Coturnix japonica: one gene and its partners. The main gene of each other region encodes a partner of the protein of the gene in region 3 in a complex. Links are inferred from orthologs where the notes say so. Each region holds a gene or a part of one and is shown on either strand. Other genes may lie near its edges. The genes, in order: CRCP, POLR3F and POLR3E.

The links.
Region 1: POLR3E (region 3) and CRCP share a complex: the UniProt entries of both Homo sapiens proteins name them as parts of the RNA polymerase III complex. The link is inferred for Coturnix japonica from reciprocal best matches to the Homo sapiens genes POLR3E and CRCP.
Region 2: POLR3E (region 3) and POLR3F share a complex: the UniProt entries of both Homo sapiens proteins name them as parts of the RNA polymerase III complex. The link is inferred for Coturnix japonica from reciprocal best matches to the Homo sapiens genes POLR3E and POLR3F.

Annotation. Positions count from the first base shown.
Region 1 is NC_029534.1:3,785,749-3,791,749, reverse strand, and holds the start of CRCP (DNA-directed RNA polymerase III subunit RPC9), read right to left. Parts: upstream 3,778-6,001; 5' UTR 3,658-3,777; intron 3,524-3,657; 5' UTR 3,461-3,523; coding exon 3,297-3,460; intron 3,201-3,296; exon of another isoform or gene 3,134-3,200; intron 1-3,133. Other genes in the region: delta-1 crystallin, read left to right, coding at 3,363-3,374, 4,097-4,291, 5,223-5,306, 5,622-5,678, 5,875-5,972. UniProt on the Homo sapiens protein: DNA-dependent RNA polymerase catalyzes the transcription of DNA into RNA using the four ribonucleoside triphosphates as substrates.
Region 2 is NC_029518.1:13,402,184-13,408,210, forward strand, and holds the start of POLR3F (DNA-directed RNA polymerase III subunit RPC6), read right to left. Parts: upstream 3,500-6,027; 5' UTR 3,403-3,499; coding exon 3,347-3,402; intron 3,078-3,346; coding exon 2,960-3,077; intron 2,187-2,959; coding exon 2,119-2,186; intron 1,129-2,118; coding exon 1,061-1,128; intron 464-1,060; coding exon 351-463; intron 1-350. UniProt on the Homo sapiens protein: DNA-dependent RNA polymerase catalyzes the transcription of DNA into RNA using the four ribonucleoside triphosphates as substrates.
Region 3 is NC_029529.1:8,344,632-8,350,011, reverse strand, and holds part of POLR3E (DNA-directed RNA polymerase III subunit RPC5), read right to left. Parts: intron 4,769-5,380; coding exon 4,272-4,768; intron 1,327-4,271; exon of another isoform or gene 1,313-1,326; coding exon 1,235-1,312; intron 311-1,234; coding exon 197-310; intron 1-196. UniProt on the Homo sapiens protein: DNA-dependent RNA polymerase catalyzes the transcription of DNA into RNA using the four ribonucleoside triphosphates as substrates.

The DNA of each region.
Region 1 (6,001 bases), on a different chromosome or scaffold from region 3:
TCTATGAATCCTTACATGCCTCTCCTCGCTCTCTGTAGATACGGGTTCAAAATCTTCAGCATATTAATTATATTTCCCTTTTGTTGTATTTCTCCTCCAACACCAATTTATCATCTTTATGTTCAGTGTTACTCCAATTTGTTCCACAATGGCAGTGCCCAATCCCAGCAGCTAGAAAGGATGAATATAATACAAATGCTTCTCTCAATGGCCCTCAACCTTTTTCTTACCAAAAGAAATAGTCTTCCTAAATTCTTCCTAGCAGACACATGCAGCCTGTTAGGGTTGAAGTACATAAATGATCAGCTACGGGTCCACTGACATCATGTGAGGGGAACCTCTAAGAGAGAGGAATAACCATTACACACAACTTTGCAGGAGAGATGGAATGATTAGCTCACTGAACTCTGTTTTTAATTGCTGCACATTAGATGTTAGACAGTTATGCTACACCATCCATAGGGAATGCAGACATAGGTTTTTCTAAATGTGCTTAGCATGTCAACATTTTAAGCATTGGCTTGTGATTGTTACCACTAAGGCTTGGTAGAGAGGGGCCTCGGTATTAACTATTGAAAGCAGGGGGCCTAGCAATTGCTATTGAAAGCAGATCTGCGGGGTATTTGTATTCTTTGTCATGAAAGATGTTTACTGTATTCAGCATTTCGCTGATCACCCTATAGTGTCTTTTTTTTTCTTTTACATTCAAAATTCATTAAACAAGGTGGTTGTGTTTTGTTTTGTTTTTTAACAAAAAAATGTCAGCACTGCTTCACACCAGTCTAGCTGACGGTGCGTTTAACCAGCATGTTCAGCCCACAGCGCTTTTTTTCCCCCTTTTTCTAAACCAAAATGACACTAAAAAAGAATGTTTTTAAAGAATATATATTGTAGCTGTTTGTTGCCCCAGCCTCAGTTATGAAAACTATGAATAGAGGATTTCTTTACACCACTAAAGCGCTTTCAGAGCTGCACTCCGCAAGTATTGCGCTCTTCCAGCAAAAGCAAAATAAACAGTGTAAATAGGAAGGATGTGAATGTGACTGCAAAAGCAAGTACAAATAAAATCCAAATCTTAGAGGACATTAAAATATATTCAATTCATCCTCTCCATGCCGCAAAATGGAGATTCACTCTTACTACTTCATTGTATGTCAGCTGGGAAGATAATAATGATGAGGATACATTCCAGTGTTTGTTAGAAGAGACCTATTCTGCAATGCTATTTCACTATTTTTCCCTCAAAAACAACCTCCCCAGCCCCAAGCATCGTTAAGTCATCTGTTTGTTCAATCACATTAAGGATTTCTGATTGGCTTTACAGCTTCACTTCCATTCCTACTACAACTGTATTCTATGTTGCCCGCTGTACAGAAGAGATCGGTATGAAGTGTTTCATCTAAAAACAGGAAAAGAGAGAATTAATAACCTCCTAAATACAAACTGAGGCAGCGTTCTGTACACAAACTAATCTCTGTGAAGTTGCTTAGTGCACAGTGATAACACTGACGGATCCCATGCGGAATTATACATGTCCTTGCCATGTATAATTCCAGGCATAGATTAATAAAAGTGGGATCACCTGATAGCAAATACAGAAGGCTTCTTGATCACAAAACTAGATTTGTGGTCAAGGCACAGATTGTGAAAGCACCAGAAATTCAGCTAAGTCGTTCCTGTTGATTAATACCCGGCTGCATGTGGATTGCAGATTTTAGTTCCACAACATCCATTAGAACAACTTATTTCAAGGCCAAAACCTGCAATACATCACCACAAATATTTGACATGAAGACAATGTGTTACTGATCTCTCATCTCACTTGGGCACCTGGGATCTCTACTTTTCCCCTTTTTCCTTCTGGGCACATCCTGCTGGATATCCTCAGGCAGAAAGACATGTAATCCTCACTCAGGCTGTGTGTTAACCTACAGTGATATAACAAACATGAGATAGAGATTCTCTCTGTACTGGGTACACTTGGGTTGTAAACTGAATGCTCACGATTCTCCCAAAACAACAACAATTTCCTATCAAAGCCAGGAGTAAGGACAAGGACACTCGTAAAGGGTGAAAGAGACAAGAAAAGTAGTAAAAAATGATGGATTTCAAAGCAAGAAGGATGTGATCACAAAGCAATTCAGCAGTTTCCAAGTGTAGATGCCCTGGAATAAATGGAAAAAGGAGACAAGTTGAAGAACTGAGGGAACAGAAGAAAAAAGACCAGACAGTCAGCTAAAGGGAAGGAAGAAATGGGGACAAGGAAATGAGAATATGTTTCCTGAGCTTTGCCAAAGGTCTGTGCCATGCAGATGGAAGCATACTACACTGTAGCAACACACAGTAAGGGAAACCAGCAAGTGCTTTTTCAGAGCAGAAATGCATTGCGTCTAAAGAGAAACTGGAGCTGGGGAGCAGCTTTGTGAACAGATGTTCCCAACGCTCCCATTTTTTAACCAATTCTTTAAAACCATAATATTCAGAGTCTGATGGGAGTTAAGACGTGGGCTATTTGCCAGGGCCGCAGACCTAGTGACCGCTGTGGCACTGCACTAAACTCACATCCCACAGCCTCAGTCTCATGCTTACAGGAACTTCTCAAGATTGACCCAATGCAATTGGTGACAGCAGAAACCCTGAAAGCTGAAGTGGGGTGGGGTGAAAAGGCTCATCTGCACAGGAACTGGAGACAAATTAGCTCCCAGATGTTTAATTCTCATGTGTTGGTGGCAGTGTAGATGGAGTGTTGTTGATCCACCCAACATCCCAAGTACATTCATACCAATATAGAGGGGGATGCCAGAGTAAAAAGACTCCTTCAGCACAACGATACTCCCTGACAAGGAGATGACCTGCCATTGAAACCACACAGCAGACAATCTCCCATTACAGGTGCTCTTACACCAATAACTTTACAAACAAGCAACATGAGGGCATCTTTACCAGCTCTCTTCTTCACAGCTACCCTACCCACTGGGAAACCTCTCCCTGACCTTTTCCTGATTGAGCAGTGGCCAAACACAGGACAAGGGGTGGGCAGCATGAGGGGGGCCAGGGAGGGGAAGAGCTGGGCTGGATTAGGGGACACCCCGCCCCAATGGGGCGTGACGAGCTTCCAGCCCAGGCTCCGAGGCACGTAAAAGCCGGGCAGTGAGACCGGAGAGCACAGAGCGACCAGCCAGGGCTGAGCTGTGGACACGGTGAGCAGGGCTGTGCGGGCAGCTGGGGAGGCTCTGTGCTGCTGTGGGGCTGGGGCAGAGCTGAGCTGAGCCAAACAGAGCTGAACTGAGCCTCACCTCGCTGTTCCACAGGTTGCACCAGGCGCCAGGATTGCTGCAAACACGAGCAAAACGTCGTCCGAAATGGCAACCGAGGTGAGGCCAAACTTTGCTTTTCCTATGGGGTGCTCTTGGGGTGCTCTGATAGATGACTGATAGCTCCACGGAGCATCCAGATGCATTTGATAGGGAGCTTCAGGGTGATTCTCTCTGCCTTTTTCTGAATTTTAGGAAAATTTCTTTTCCTGAAATTTTAAATGGAAAGTGAACAGCAAATTTATTTATATAATTATATACTGCGATAATTGCTTCTCTACTACTTATATACTGCCATATACTAAGATATATTCCAATACCTCTTCTCCATCCAAGCACTTACCTCCCAGCACTGGCCTTCAGCACCCCATCCATTCACTGCAGAGGGCTGTGCTCCCAGCGAGGCTGCAAAACCTTGCTTTCACAACTCGATTCCTCCCTTGCAACTCCTGCTGACAAACTGCTTTAAAGAGAAAAGATAAAGAGACTTGAGCACTTCGTACCTACAGGTTTCCTCCTCTCCATCGTCTGCCTGGAAAGGGCCATCGGAGCCGCCCGCTGTCCATGGTACCAGCAACCCCGCAGCTCAGCGCTGCTATAATTTCTAAGTGTTTGAGGATTTGGGATAGAAATATATATATATTAGAAAAAGGGTATATAAAACATATAAATAAGGGATATATAAAACATTCCCACAGTTTTACTTGAACGTGGCATTGAGAGATTTTTAGGAGAATATATCAATAATGCATTTGAATGTCCTTTAACTTCATTACTCTCAGGGGGATAAACTATTGGGAGGAAGATTTGTTGGAAGTACAGATCCCATCCTGGAGATTCTCAGCTCTTCTATATCCACTGAGCAGAGACTGACTGAAGTTGATATCCAGGCAAGCATGGCTTATGCCAAAGCCTTGGAGAAGGCTAGCATCCTAACTAAAACCGAGCTGGAGAAGATCCTGAGTGGCCTGGAAAAGGTATTTATTTCTTTCATAAACTGCCCTGCATGCTCAGAACAATTCCCACAAGAGTACTTTGATGAATAGCTTATCCGATAGCATCTGTTGTCACCTCCCTGGGTCCATGCTCTAAAGACAATCTTTCTGTATCCCCACATCCTATTTCTTAGTACTAGGCATGTGGAAAAGTGCATTCCTGTAAGGGAATGCTGTCTGAAACCAGGAAGAATTGCAGAAGCCTGTGTGTATTGCATTTGATACTCTAGCAGATGTTCTGGACAGGAGATAAATGCTTAGAATCCATCTAGCTGCAGCAAAAATCCCTACTGAGCACAGCAAGAATGCTGCTTATGGAAACCTGGTGCCTCAGTGAGGTGTGCTCAGCACAACCTGCCTGCCCATCCTCTTCAGACTGAACGTACCTGAGGAATTGTTTCAGTATGAATTAGAACTATTATTTTTCCAATGGCACTTGGGATCCCTTTGTGTCCATCTGCCTGACTTAGTAGAAGGCAATGCACGGTATTGTATAGGGGTGAAGAAGAGCCAGCCACTAAGCACTTTTTCTGAAATATTCATTGTTGTTGCTCACCTACCATGGATAATGGGCAGCCTATACAATGTTTGTATAGGAAAATCTTTACGGACAATACTAAAGCAATGACTGCCACTTCAGCTCACTTTCTCACTGTGATGCTTAAGTCCTGCCATAGCCAGGAGTGCAGGATCAGCAAGGATCAAAAGATGAATCTCCACCAAGTGCAATACACAATATAGGGATAGAGCAAGCAGCCAGCCTTGGCCTGAAAGAACAGGAATGCAGGAGCACCTGTGAGAATGCTTTCATTTCCATTTGGATGGCAGAACTTGGTATTTCCTGGGGATAACTTACAGCCCCTCACTCAGGGAATCAGTATGAGCTGACTTGTGTTTCTGTTGATATTTATAGATCTCTGAGGAATCATCTAAGGGAGTCCTTGTAATGACCCAAAGTGATGAGGATATCCAGACTGCCATTGAACGCAGACTGAAGGTTTGGGTTCTTTAACCTCTTATTTCTCTCCCTCTCTAGTTAGTGCTGCCTGACATTGAGCACATATGCCTCTGTCCCCAGCATGGTGAAATTCCTCAACATCTTGCTATACTGACATACTAGGTTTACAGCCAACAGTATCCAGGACCTCTTTTGTGTGGAAGAGAGGCTGTAAAAGTCTAGAACCCAAACTTCCCCTTCCCCAGAAGAGAACCCTAAACCTGAACCCCTTGCTTGAGTGGCAGGATATCTGCTCTTGCATTAATCTCTTGCTCAGAATAGAGGCACTGACAGACGTTATTCTCTTGTCCTCAGGAGCTGATTGGGGATATAGCTGGAAAGCTGCAGACTGGAAGAAGCAGGAATGAACAGGTATATATGGAACTATTTGTTTTTTTCCATTGTGATCCTCCCCTCCTCATTTCAGGAAATCTCTGAACTGAGCTGCCTCTGATAAATGGAAGATTCATCTTCCCAACATATAGAACAAGGCTATTTTACAATGACAGTGTCAGGCTACCATCTATGACACATTCTCCTTTATCTCACTGTGGCCAATCTTGTCCAGGTTGTGACTGACCTGAAGCTGCTCCTGAAGAGTTCCATCTCTGTCATCTCCACTCACCTGCTGCAGCTCATCAAGACCCTGGTGGAGCGCGCTGCCATGTGAGTCCTTTAACACGTCCATAGTCACA
Region 2 (6,027 bases), on a different chromosome or scaffold from region 3:
AAAGTACTGAAAAAAATAAGCCCTACTCTCGCATGTGGACTATTTGTACGTAAGATATAACAGCAGTATGAATGGTAATAGAACAGTATATTAATGGCGGTGTATTTATTACTTATATTATTAATTTGTTTGCTATAGTATGTTTATTACTTATCAAACATGACAGCCTCTTGGATCTGGTACAGCTCAAACATACATTGTAAATGTTAAGAGTAAAATGTTGGTCCACATGCAGTGACAAAGCTGGAGGCAGAACAAGGTTTCTCTGCTCCCTGTTCCACGTTCAAACATGTACAGCATGTAGCAAACATTTGGAAATGTTAAAAAGCAACAAGTCAAAAATTACTCACTGCCACAGATTTCACTGCTTTAATTAGTTTCTTGCTTTCCAAGTTTTTCAATATCTTGTTGATCTCCGTTAAAGGCAAATTACTTTTGTATCTGATGTCCCTGCTCCAAATACCTGTTAAAGAAGCACAGAAATGAACAGAATTAATTAGGAGAACCAGGTATTTGTTTCTGTAAGGATTAACAAGCCAAAAGTCATAATGTTGCCTGCCAGCCAAAGGCTGCATCTCCAATCCTACCACCCTCAGCAAAAGGGAGGGAATGGGAAAAAGAGGATGAAATAAAAATCAACTGACAAAGCAGAAGAAAAACCTCACAGCACAGTCACCATCTGTATCTCTGGGAGCTCTTACATGTACACAACATTTGGCCTCACAGGAGATCCAGGAGACACAGAATTTTGTTTTTAAAGTGATGAGTATTTTGTATAGATTCCCCAGTTTCACAGTCCCATCAATAAGCCATAATTCATATTCTGAAACTTCATATTTTGAAAGAGGTCCCAAAAGGTCAGACCAGATAATTTGTTATTTTAATAGAGAAATATGTCTTCCTCTGTTTTTAATAAGTGGCACGTGGAACATTAGCTACAGACTTAGGCGTGCTCTATATCTGATATCTGCATTGCCTGGACAAGAATTTAAACGTTTGGACAGGAAAAGTTCCACAAACAAAGCTATTACCATTCCCCATTATAATTTATTTAAACTACCTTTGTTGCCTGCATCTTCTATGATTTGGTAAACCAGCTTCTCTTGATTGTCAGAGCCTTTCATTTTACTGTGGAGTAGAAGAGACAACGGGATTTTTTGGGGTAAGTTTGAAGTTTGAAAGAGGGTGGATTTATTTTAAACCAAAAACAAATACTATGAACAGAAACCACAACACACAAAGGGAAAAAGAAGCCCCACACAATAAACCAGCCAGTGGCAAATAAAATACATGACACCAAACCTCTGTGGATCATTCTGCGATTGCCAGTGAAAAGCCACAGTAAAGAGAAAACAGCACAGTTGAAAAAAAAAATAATATTAGTCATTAAAAATGAGGGTAAGCAGGAAACACTCAACTTCTCTTAACAAAGAGAAGTTTGGAGTCACATATTAACACAACTGCATAAGGTCAAACACTCAGCACATAATTCAGGACCAACTGTCGCAACAAGGGGACAGCAGAGGCTCTACAACGTGCCTTCTCACTGGTCTCAGAAAGCCTCAGCTTAGAAGGTTTTTTTCTAATGCAGTGGAAAGAGAAGTTGAGATGCCTGCATGGAAGATAATTTTGAAGGACGTTTCTTTCTAGAAGTAAATCCAGGCATCTCCTACTCAGCTCCACACAGACATCGCAAAACACGACTTTATTGAAGGCATGTTTTAATAAATCAAATAAAAGAGCACAAACAACATATCAAGCGGCCTTCTGGAACTGCTGTAAGTGCTGGAAAAGACCACAGAACGATACTTATAGATGGTGTGGTCAAGCTTCAGCTGGCTTTCATCTGAGCATTCGCATCTGCTCATAGAGATCACTTTGCCAGATGAAGAATTCCACTAGTAAGCTACAGCTGGAGCCCCATGGGAGAGTCTGTGCAGCAGGAATCATACAACAGTTGACAGAATTGGCTCAGGGGGGTTAAGCGTATCAAGCAAGTAAATTCTGTAATATCTTTGTTACAGAGCCCATGTTAAATTCCTTGCTGTGTTCTCAGCAACGCCGCACATCAGCTGCAGAACCGCATTCAGATATTGATTGCGTAAGCACAAGGCTCACCTTGCATTTTGAGACTCTTTGATTCTATACAGGAGACCTGTGCTGCTCCTGAGAAGGTCCAGTTGCCCCTGTGGGAAACAGGCACAGCACATTAACTTCCCTTCTAACAGCTTCTTTTCAGAACACGGCAAGAAAATCTCCTTAACTTGTAAAGAAAATAAATGTACTTTGTATCAGCTGAATACAGAAAAGGGAAAAACAACATTTCTAACTGCTAGACACAACAATAACCCTGAGGATATTATTCTTCCCCTCTGACCATGCATTTATCATTAGCTGTCAGAAATAACAAACACAGCTCCAGCCTCTCCCCACAACACTGGTGCACTTCCCGTTGTTTCTCCTAACGTTCACCTTGGGACATGGAGCTCTTGTATACTTCCCACCAAAGTGCTCATTCATATGAGCATCCAGATATCAAGTGAGAGCTCTGCTGGACAGGAACACTGAACAATTCCACAAGTGGAAGAGATGAGGGCTCTTATTTTGTTGGTTATGTTCTCAGTTCTGTAGATAACTGGAAAAGTGTCAGCCAAGTTTGAGGATGCCTCATGGAGGCTGCTCACTCACACAACAGGTGTTAACTTTATCTTACAGAATGGAAACTACATTTTGAGGTATGTTTTAATAGATGATGGTGACCGTTATAAGTGGTTGTGGTGGTCACAAGTGAGAACCACAATTAAGCTGCAAAAACTGCCAGTTCTGGCAAATGACACTAAATCCAAGATGAACTTCCCAGCCCTGCCCAGCTGGGTGCCACCACGCAGCCATTGACAACAGCCCATTGACATCAAGAGCCTCAGGATGAAGCAGCTCGAAGGGGTGTGGAACGTCGTACCATGGAGAGCAGCCTGTTGATGGCCATGGCTCGCTGCTGGGCCTCCATGTGCGGCATGTCATTCTGGATCACCTGGTCTGTGATGCCGTGAGGGAACTGCTGGCACAGCTCAATGATCCTGGGGGAGGAATGAGGCGGTTTATGAACCAAAGGCCGTTGTGCACAAAACCAGCCACCTGAAAGGCCATCAGAGCAGGGACGGAAAGGAAAGAGCAGCTCAGGAAGAACCACTTCTCAGCTCTTTCTGACAGCGCTGCTGCTCCACTTCACTTTTGGGCTGCTCTCAACATCAACGCACCAGGACCCACCAGGACCCACCGCTCCCCGCCTCCCCAGCACCACGAAGCCTCTCCCGATGATTTCGGGCCAGGGCCCGTCCCAACGCACCTGCTCTCTATGTCCACGGGGTCGGGCACCTCCGGCTTCACCTTCACCTCCGCCATGGCGGCGGGCCGGGCTGCGCGGGGAGATGCCGTCACCAGGAGCGGAGGGGATCGGTTACTGAGCGGCACGTTGAGATGACGTTATTTGTACGCGCCGGTGCCGGTTGCCGAGTAACGGGACGCGTGGGCTTTGTCGACACCGCCTGCTTTGTGGTGGTTGTGGTTGTTGTTGTGGTTGCTGTTGTTGTTGTGTTTCAGGGATCGCAGAGCAGGATGGCGGCGGGCTCCGTGTCTGTGCCGCAGCTCATTCCGCTCCGGGTCCCTGTTCCAGGGCAGGCCAAGCACCGCATCGACAGCGGCACCCGGGTGGAAATCAAGTCAGGTACGGGCTGCGGCTTTGCCTCTGTCAAACCTCCTCTCAAAGCGTTTGAGCCTTCCAGCCTCCGTGTTGGCTGCAGGTAACTGGCCTCAGGAACTCCACCTGCCATCAGAGGAGATGGTTTATCTGTTGGTAGAACAGTGTTTTCCTGCAAAACCACCGTGCGGTGACTTTATGAAGAGAAATATTGCTAATCGTGACATCGCAGCCATTCAGTGTCAGTTCTTCATGGGAGAAACGGTTTTGGTTCTGAACTTTTATGCAATTGCTTCATTGTGCTTATGTGAGAAAGTCAAGTACTCACACAGTGCTGAGTATCTGCAGGGTTGTACAGATATTTGTGTTTTTTTCCAGCTCCTGCACAGTTTGGCTAATTACTTTCTCTGTGTTGTTCAGATACACCTGAGGTCTCTATTTATTACACTTTAGATGGAAGTAAACCAGAACTTTTTAGGAAGCCTGGCTATGGAGAGCGTAACACTTTTAAGTATAAGAGTCCTATCACGTTACCAGTCGGGAAAATAACAGTCAAGGCTCTTGCAGTTACCAAGTAAGTATCCTGCTTTAACTTAGTTCTGTTTTAGAATGGACATCTTAACTTCATGGTTAGAAGAACACACAAGGAATCCCCAGTCCAGCTGGGAATCTGTTCCCCACTATTAGCACCTGCATGTAGCCTTTGCTTGTATCTGCATTGGAATATGACAACATTATATTCCCTGTGCAGGACATGCAAACCCTAGGTCTGAAGGTATTTTCATATATCACTATCTGAATTAACAGTTCTTTCCAGTGTTTTATTAAGACATTTCCAGGTGCACCAAATTGATGCTCTGGAATGAAAGCAAATTCTTAATTAATAGCTTGTACATTTGTGGCATTTTAATGTTACTGCTGTAATTTAGCAAGTGAGAAGGTAGAGAAGGTAGATAAGAGAAGGACAGTTGATATATCAAATTGACAGTGTGCTGTCTGCTGCTTGACTGCCCTTTGTTGCCTGCAATGCTGGCAAACTAATTACTCCAGAAAGCAGACACAGCAGCATCAGGAGTTAGTTTCACAGGTAAAAGATGTTGAAGAATTAAAGTATCCATCCGTATGTTTTACTGTTAACTTCTTAGTGTGCACACTAACTTAAACATAATAACAAAACAAAGCAGAGGTTTTTGAGAGTATTTCCCAGGACTGTGCTTACTCACTGAAGTAATGACTTGCAAACTTGGAAGAGATGTTCCAGACGATCAACCGTGTTCCCCCGTGGTTTCCTTTTCATTGCATGTGGTTTTATGGCATGTTCAGAACTTTGTGATCATTGACTTCCAGGGACTGCAGGGAGAGTGCTGTTGTGACAAAGGTGTTTCTAGTAGAGTACAAGCAACCAAACGGCCTCTTCTCTATGGAAGATGATGACAAGAAGTTCCTAAAAGATGTCACAACACAGGCAAGTTGTAGCAGTTGCAATCTCTTGTCTGAATACAGAAGGTTGTGTGTATGATAGTGCTTAGAGATTAAACCTTGACTGCCTGCATTTTTTATGTATTTTATTTTCCCTGTTGCTCATCTTTGCAGCCTTGGCCCTTTTTATAAAGTGAAATTTTAAGGGAACACGTCTTCTTTCTTTACTCACTGCTCTGTCATGATCAATTCAGGTCAAATATATTTAAAATACATTTATCCTCCAAGCTTTTCAAATGCTTACAATGAAAAGAAATACCTCAATGATATGCCTTTAAAATCGTAACAAATAACTATAGCTTCCTATAACTATAGGAAGGATTAGAGCAAAAACAAGCAATCCTAAGTAATCCAAATGAAATCACTTCTTAGGAGAAGGAAGATGGAACATTTACTACAAAACCAAGGCAAAATGGAATGGGTGTGGAAATCAAGCCTGCCTGGACTGAAACACCCCGGGATGTTCAAGGTATGGTATTACTGCAGGAAGTCAGAACAGACTTTGGGTTTTTTTGTTAGCTGAGAATACAGTGCAAAGTTTTCATCTTATGTCATCATTAAAATACAGGGGAATCTAAAAAACATCTCAGAAGTCAAAACATCTTCTGAGGAGTCCAATTTCCATTTCTCAGCACTGCAAGCAGGGAACAAAAATTGCCTTCTATACTTACCAGCCTGCTTATTAAGAACAACAACAACAAAATAATTCATTTCTAAGCAACATAACAAGGCCCAGTCTGCATCTGCATTTGTGCTAGAAAATGACATTAAACTGATGGGACTGCAAATTCATTAGAATATAGAGAATAACACATTTTTGGTTTTAGAAACAGAAAGAAAGACTGATCACA
Region 3 (5,380 bases):
TGGAGAGAAACAAGGTAGAATGAGACGAGTGTTACTTTGAAGAAAACAGGCTGATAAACAAGCCCTGCCTGCATTCCCACAGCGACTGTTCTACCATCACTTGTCAACTCAAGGCAATACATGATCCTTCAGTTAAACCAAAGCATTAAAAATTCATGCGTTAACTGAATCAAAACCCCAAGTGAGCAGAACTTACCTTTAACACTCTATCCACCTCCTGCTTGTTCAGGTCTTGACTCAGCTGATTCTGAATGACATTTCTGCGCACTCGATAATTTTTCGAAAAAATTTCAAGCAAAACTTGGCGATGCTTTAGACAAAGAATCATTAACACACAATTACTTTTAACTTTCTATAAAACAAACCATCTGTGCATTAATCCGTACATAACATTCACTGAGCTTCAATAGAGTATTCTTGCTTTGTAACCCTGAAACTGTCCCATTTCAGCCTGCTCTCATTAGGTGTCCTCCCGTTACTTTGCAGCTCTGCAGGGATCCCTCCATGTCTCATGAGCAGATCTGCCCCATCCTGTGACCCCAGGTGCCCCCATGGGTACAAACCTATACTAAAGAAGGGACTATGACATTTTCCTCTCACGCGCTTCCCAGGCAGCTCACGTGGTCTGCTCCAGCCAGGAGGTCGGATGCTGCTTATTCTCTAGAACAATGCTTGAGACTTTCCTATAAACAATTATTTAGGTCACAGGCACAGCAGTTACATTGCCCGTCCACATTCTGTTAAGATGCCTTTCCATCCACTTCACTTACTGTGATAGAAATAAAACTCAGGAGATGTTTGCATATGCTGTAATCATTTCCTTTTCTAAATATAAACAGATACACCATGTTCCATCATCATCATATAACCACTGGTTAACACTGCACTACTGCTGCATTACCACTGCATTACCATTAGTAAAAAAAGAAAAATAATTTGACTGGATCCCAGCCTAAGACCTGCATCACGGAACCTCTCTCTTCATACAATTAATAGTATCTACATGCCACTTAGTTACCAGTGTCTCAGTTTCTGTTCCCAACAACTTGTTCCTGATATGGTGACAACCACCCCGAGCTTTCTCTCAGCCTGAAGCTGGCTGGCACTGAAACCTCTGAGTCTTCCTTAGGGAACGGTGAAAAAACTGCTGTACTGCTTCCAGAAATGCAAAGTGAAGCAATGCCAAACCCTCAGTAACAATGTGTTTGGGACCATCACTTATTTCTGTCTTTACCTGATCATAAATGTCACCGGCTTCCCAAAGTGCATAAACCTTTAGCTCATCTGGTGAAGCAGCAGTCTGTGGAGGAAACTGAGAACAAGAGGCTGTTAAAAATAACTATCTATTTAATGAGTTCTACTTAATGATTCTATCATACAGTATCCCCTGACACCTATTACTGAATCAAAATGTTGTGGCCATTTAATGAGAAGTGCTTCTCTCCCACCCCAGGCTCAGGGAGGTGACTGTGCTGTGGCAGCGCCTGTGCCTGCAATAGAAGAACAAAGCCCACCCAACCTGTTCCTCTGGGTGATGCTGAAGCAGCCAGACCCCAGGTGAGGGGTAAATATTGCCTGGGGAATGTGGCCAGTGCTCCGGCAGCCTGATGTACACATGGCATTCCCAACAGCATTTCAGCAATGCTTCTGGTCACACTGGAGTGATGGTCACGTCAGAGCTGTATGAGGGGATCCTGTGACATTGTATGGGAACTTGGAGGAAGGGAGGACAACCACCAAGCGCCGTGATAATCTCAGGGTGTGGACTTGAGACAGTATCTCATGGCACGACGTAGGAATTGTTCCTGCCAGCATCTTGTGTCTCCAGACTTCCCTAAGCAGAATTCAATTAAGCACGAAGTGCACTGCAGGGTTTTCTGGAGGTTCTGAAGTCTCCAGTGGCAAGTTTTAGATATTTGGAATTTGCTCCACTAAACCCAAGGCAGCACAGCCAACCAGCACTGTGCTTCTGCTGTGTGTGAGATCTCTGGGGCAGCCCACGGGACCCCTGGAGACTGAACGCTGACGGAGAGCGAACCACACATCAGTGCATTTCAGGCTCCCAAACTGAAGTGGTTTTTGTCCCTACCAGGATCCATGCTAGAGGAACACCACTTGTATTTTCTGAGACAGAGGCCTTGTGTTTCTGCATGCAGGAAGGGATATAACTCTTCCGAATTCCTACAAAAATACAATCATGTCCATTTGCCTTAATGATTTCCCCTGGAGCAATGACTAACAAGTAATGCTGGATACTTCCCCCCCCTGATGTGTGCTTTCCTGTCTGTCACCGACCATTCATTCCACGCTAACCACCGCCCTGCCAACCTCAATCAGTCCTCCACACAAAGCCAACAGGCCTGTCTGACTGCTGCAGCTCCTCTCTGCAGTACACTCCCCACCTTTCTTCCCAGCTTTCCACACACACTGAAGGACTGCAGTGCAAAGGGAGAGCTCAGCCCTTCCTTTCAGGGGCTGCCTCTGATCTCCTGGCAAAGGGAAACGCTGTGTCCAGCAGGAGTTGCCTGCTGGGGTCAGCAGCTCTGCCTCCACCTTAGTGCAAACAGCTGGTAAATAGCAGGGCTGTGCATCTGCTTTAGAGCCAGGATTCAGGTTTGCTGGGCTGGCGACACCCAACATGCTCCTCTTCTCATAAGGACACGGTGCACACAGAGGAACACTCTCCTGTGCTTTCATTCAGCACAGATAACACCTTGGCATCAGCCTCCCTCCTGACAAGCTGCAGTACAGGCAATGCAGGGCTGCAGGAGCAGACCTGCTTGGGGCAGACCTGAGCACTACCTGCTGCCTCAGTCAGATGCTGAGCACAGCTTGAAGTTGCACTGCTGGCTCTGAAAGGGAACTGCTTCTGAACTGACATGGTGTTATTTGGGAGAGCACACAGAGCCTCCCTGAGTTCACTTCACTCTGCAAACTGCAAGGCACCCTCTCACTGCTGCCACTGCTCCAAAGCACAAGCAAAGCACAGCACCGTGCAGGCAGCCCCTGTTTGCAGCTGGAGTGCCTTCTGAGGCCCCACAAGCACCATTTATCTGGTACCTCAGATGCAGCTGTTCAGCTTTATAAATAAATCCTACACCCCACCAGTAAGGTTTCCACTGTTGTTTTCAGCAACACATTTTCTGTAACAGGGCAACGTGAAAGCCAAAAGTGTCTTCACCCACCACAGAACATCACTTCAGTTACCTCAGATCATTGATTTTTACCACCAAAGCAGTTTCAATTACAGAAAACTAATGAGTAACCACAAAATCTCAGGCAAAACATCCCCTGGACTCCCAAGGAGCTCAGGCAGCCCCACCAGGTTCAAACAAAATTGTCCAGGAGAAACAAGCAGAGAGAGCAAAGTGTATAAACTCGTGCAAAAGGCACAGCCAGCCCACAGCACGAGGCAGAGGCCTGGGGGCTGACTTACTTTTCTGACAGCAGTACAGGCTTATGCAGGCTGCTGCAGATGTCAAATTATGCATTAAGTTCTAGACCAGCAGAACTCAAATGTACAGCAGTCTCCAGCAAACAAATCCCAGACTCACTACAGCAGCGATGACTTAAGCTGTTTACCACCAGCACGACAAGTGCATTTCCTATACCATGTACAACGAGAGTCTCTCCAGCACTAATCAGCAGCTGCAGGCAAGCATTGCCCAGGGACCTGGAATCTGTCAGGGGAGAAAGCAGAAAGCACCAAAAGCAGTGGCCTCCTGTGTGGCACCTCACATCTGTCACTTGGTTCCAGGTGCCACAGGACATGCTCTGCACACCACTGAATGTGTTCCTTCTGCTTCCTTGAAGCCCAAACAAGGTGTGAGGGTCACTTCACCTCCTGTGCTCCAGGCTCTACCCACCCTGCCTGCTCTCTGCTCTCCCAAGCAGCTCACACGTCTCCTTGTCTCTCTCACTAACAGCACCTGACTCCCAGGTTCCTGCTGGAAACCAATCAGCACTACCAGATGTCTTGTGAAATTATTTTCCTTTTGGGCTATTTTCCATGATGCCAAATTCCCTTTTCTTTCCTCAGCAACCTGCTGGCTCCGACTCACGCAGTCACACACGTAATTTCCATGAAGACAAACAAAAGCTCCTCTGAACAGCCCAGGAGGAAAAGGAGCGACAAACAGAACTCTGCAGATATAGTTTGCTGCTTCCCAGAGAGCTCTGCTGGGTGTGTTTTATCCCAGCAGCATTCCTGTAAGGAGCTGTGTCCCTCCACCTCCTCCCCAGAGTGCCAAAAAGAAAAAAAAAATACTTACAGGCACCAAAATCTGTTTGCAGCCAACGTCCAACACCATGTCCTGTAACATTTTGTCTGAAATGCCACTGAACAATATATGTCCTGGAGGCAGACTGGCTAAATGAAGGTTAAACAACCGTTTAAGCTCACTCAAGGTGAGCACAAATTGTTTCTTAAACGTTGAGGACACAAATTCCTTCAGTTCTTGGGCTACCCGATCGCTGCAGCCTCCAGGCAAGTGGCCATTTAAGGTGTCCGTGGAGTCTTCCTCCGTGTGGAGGCCATTGATGATTCCGTTGTTCAGGCCCTCATACACAGAGGTGTCCATGGGCTCCTCGTCACTCACAGGCTCCTCTTTAATGCGGATATTGGAAACATCTATCTTAGATGAAGCATCATTTGATTTCAGTTCTGCCTTTTGCTTCTGGAACTCCTTGTCCAGCTGCCCATAGTTCTGCTTGACTTTTGCTTTTGCCATGTTGACTCTTTGCTCCCCGGAAACCAGCAATGGATTGCCTGATAACAAATGAAATGTAGCATAAAATCCCACCATAAACAAGACTCCAGTTTTGCAGAGTGCTGCTTGAATGACTCACTGAAATAAAGCCAGGAAACAACATTTCTTGTGGAACCTAAGGCATAAGCCTGGTTTACTGATCAGATTTTACTTCCCTCCCCACTACTATAACTTAAAATTAAAAAAGAAAAAGAAAAAAAAAAAAGGAAAGAAAAAAAAAAAAAAAAGATAAGCACGTTGATAACACTGATGCAGATACCTCCTCTACTATTAGGCACACCAGCTCTCTCTGAATAACCCAACACCTAATCCTTCCAAGCAGATCAAACACAAGGTATTGAAGTGGATTTATATGCATTTGTCAGTTCTGCTTATACTGCTCACTGGCTCCAGTGTCTGGCAGTGAGCCAAATGCCCAGTTAAAACTCTCTGGAATCTCAGGTTTTCACAACCTTTTAGGATTATAGAACAGCTACTTAATATTCTCCCTGACATCCGTGGTGGAGAGGGATGGCAAAGAGACAACTTTACACCCCCTTGCAGACCCTGGCAAATACATTCCTCATTAACTGTTTAGCCCTCAACCACATCACAGATCCCACAGCAAATCA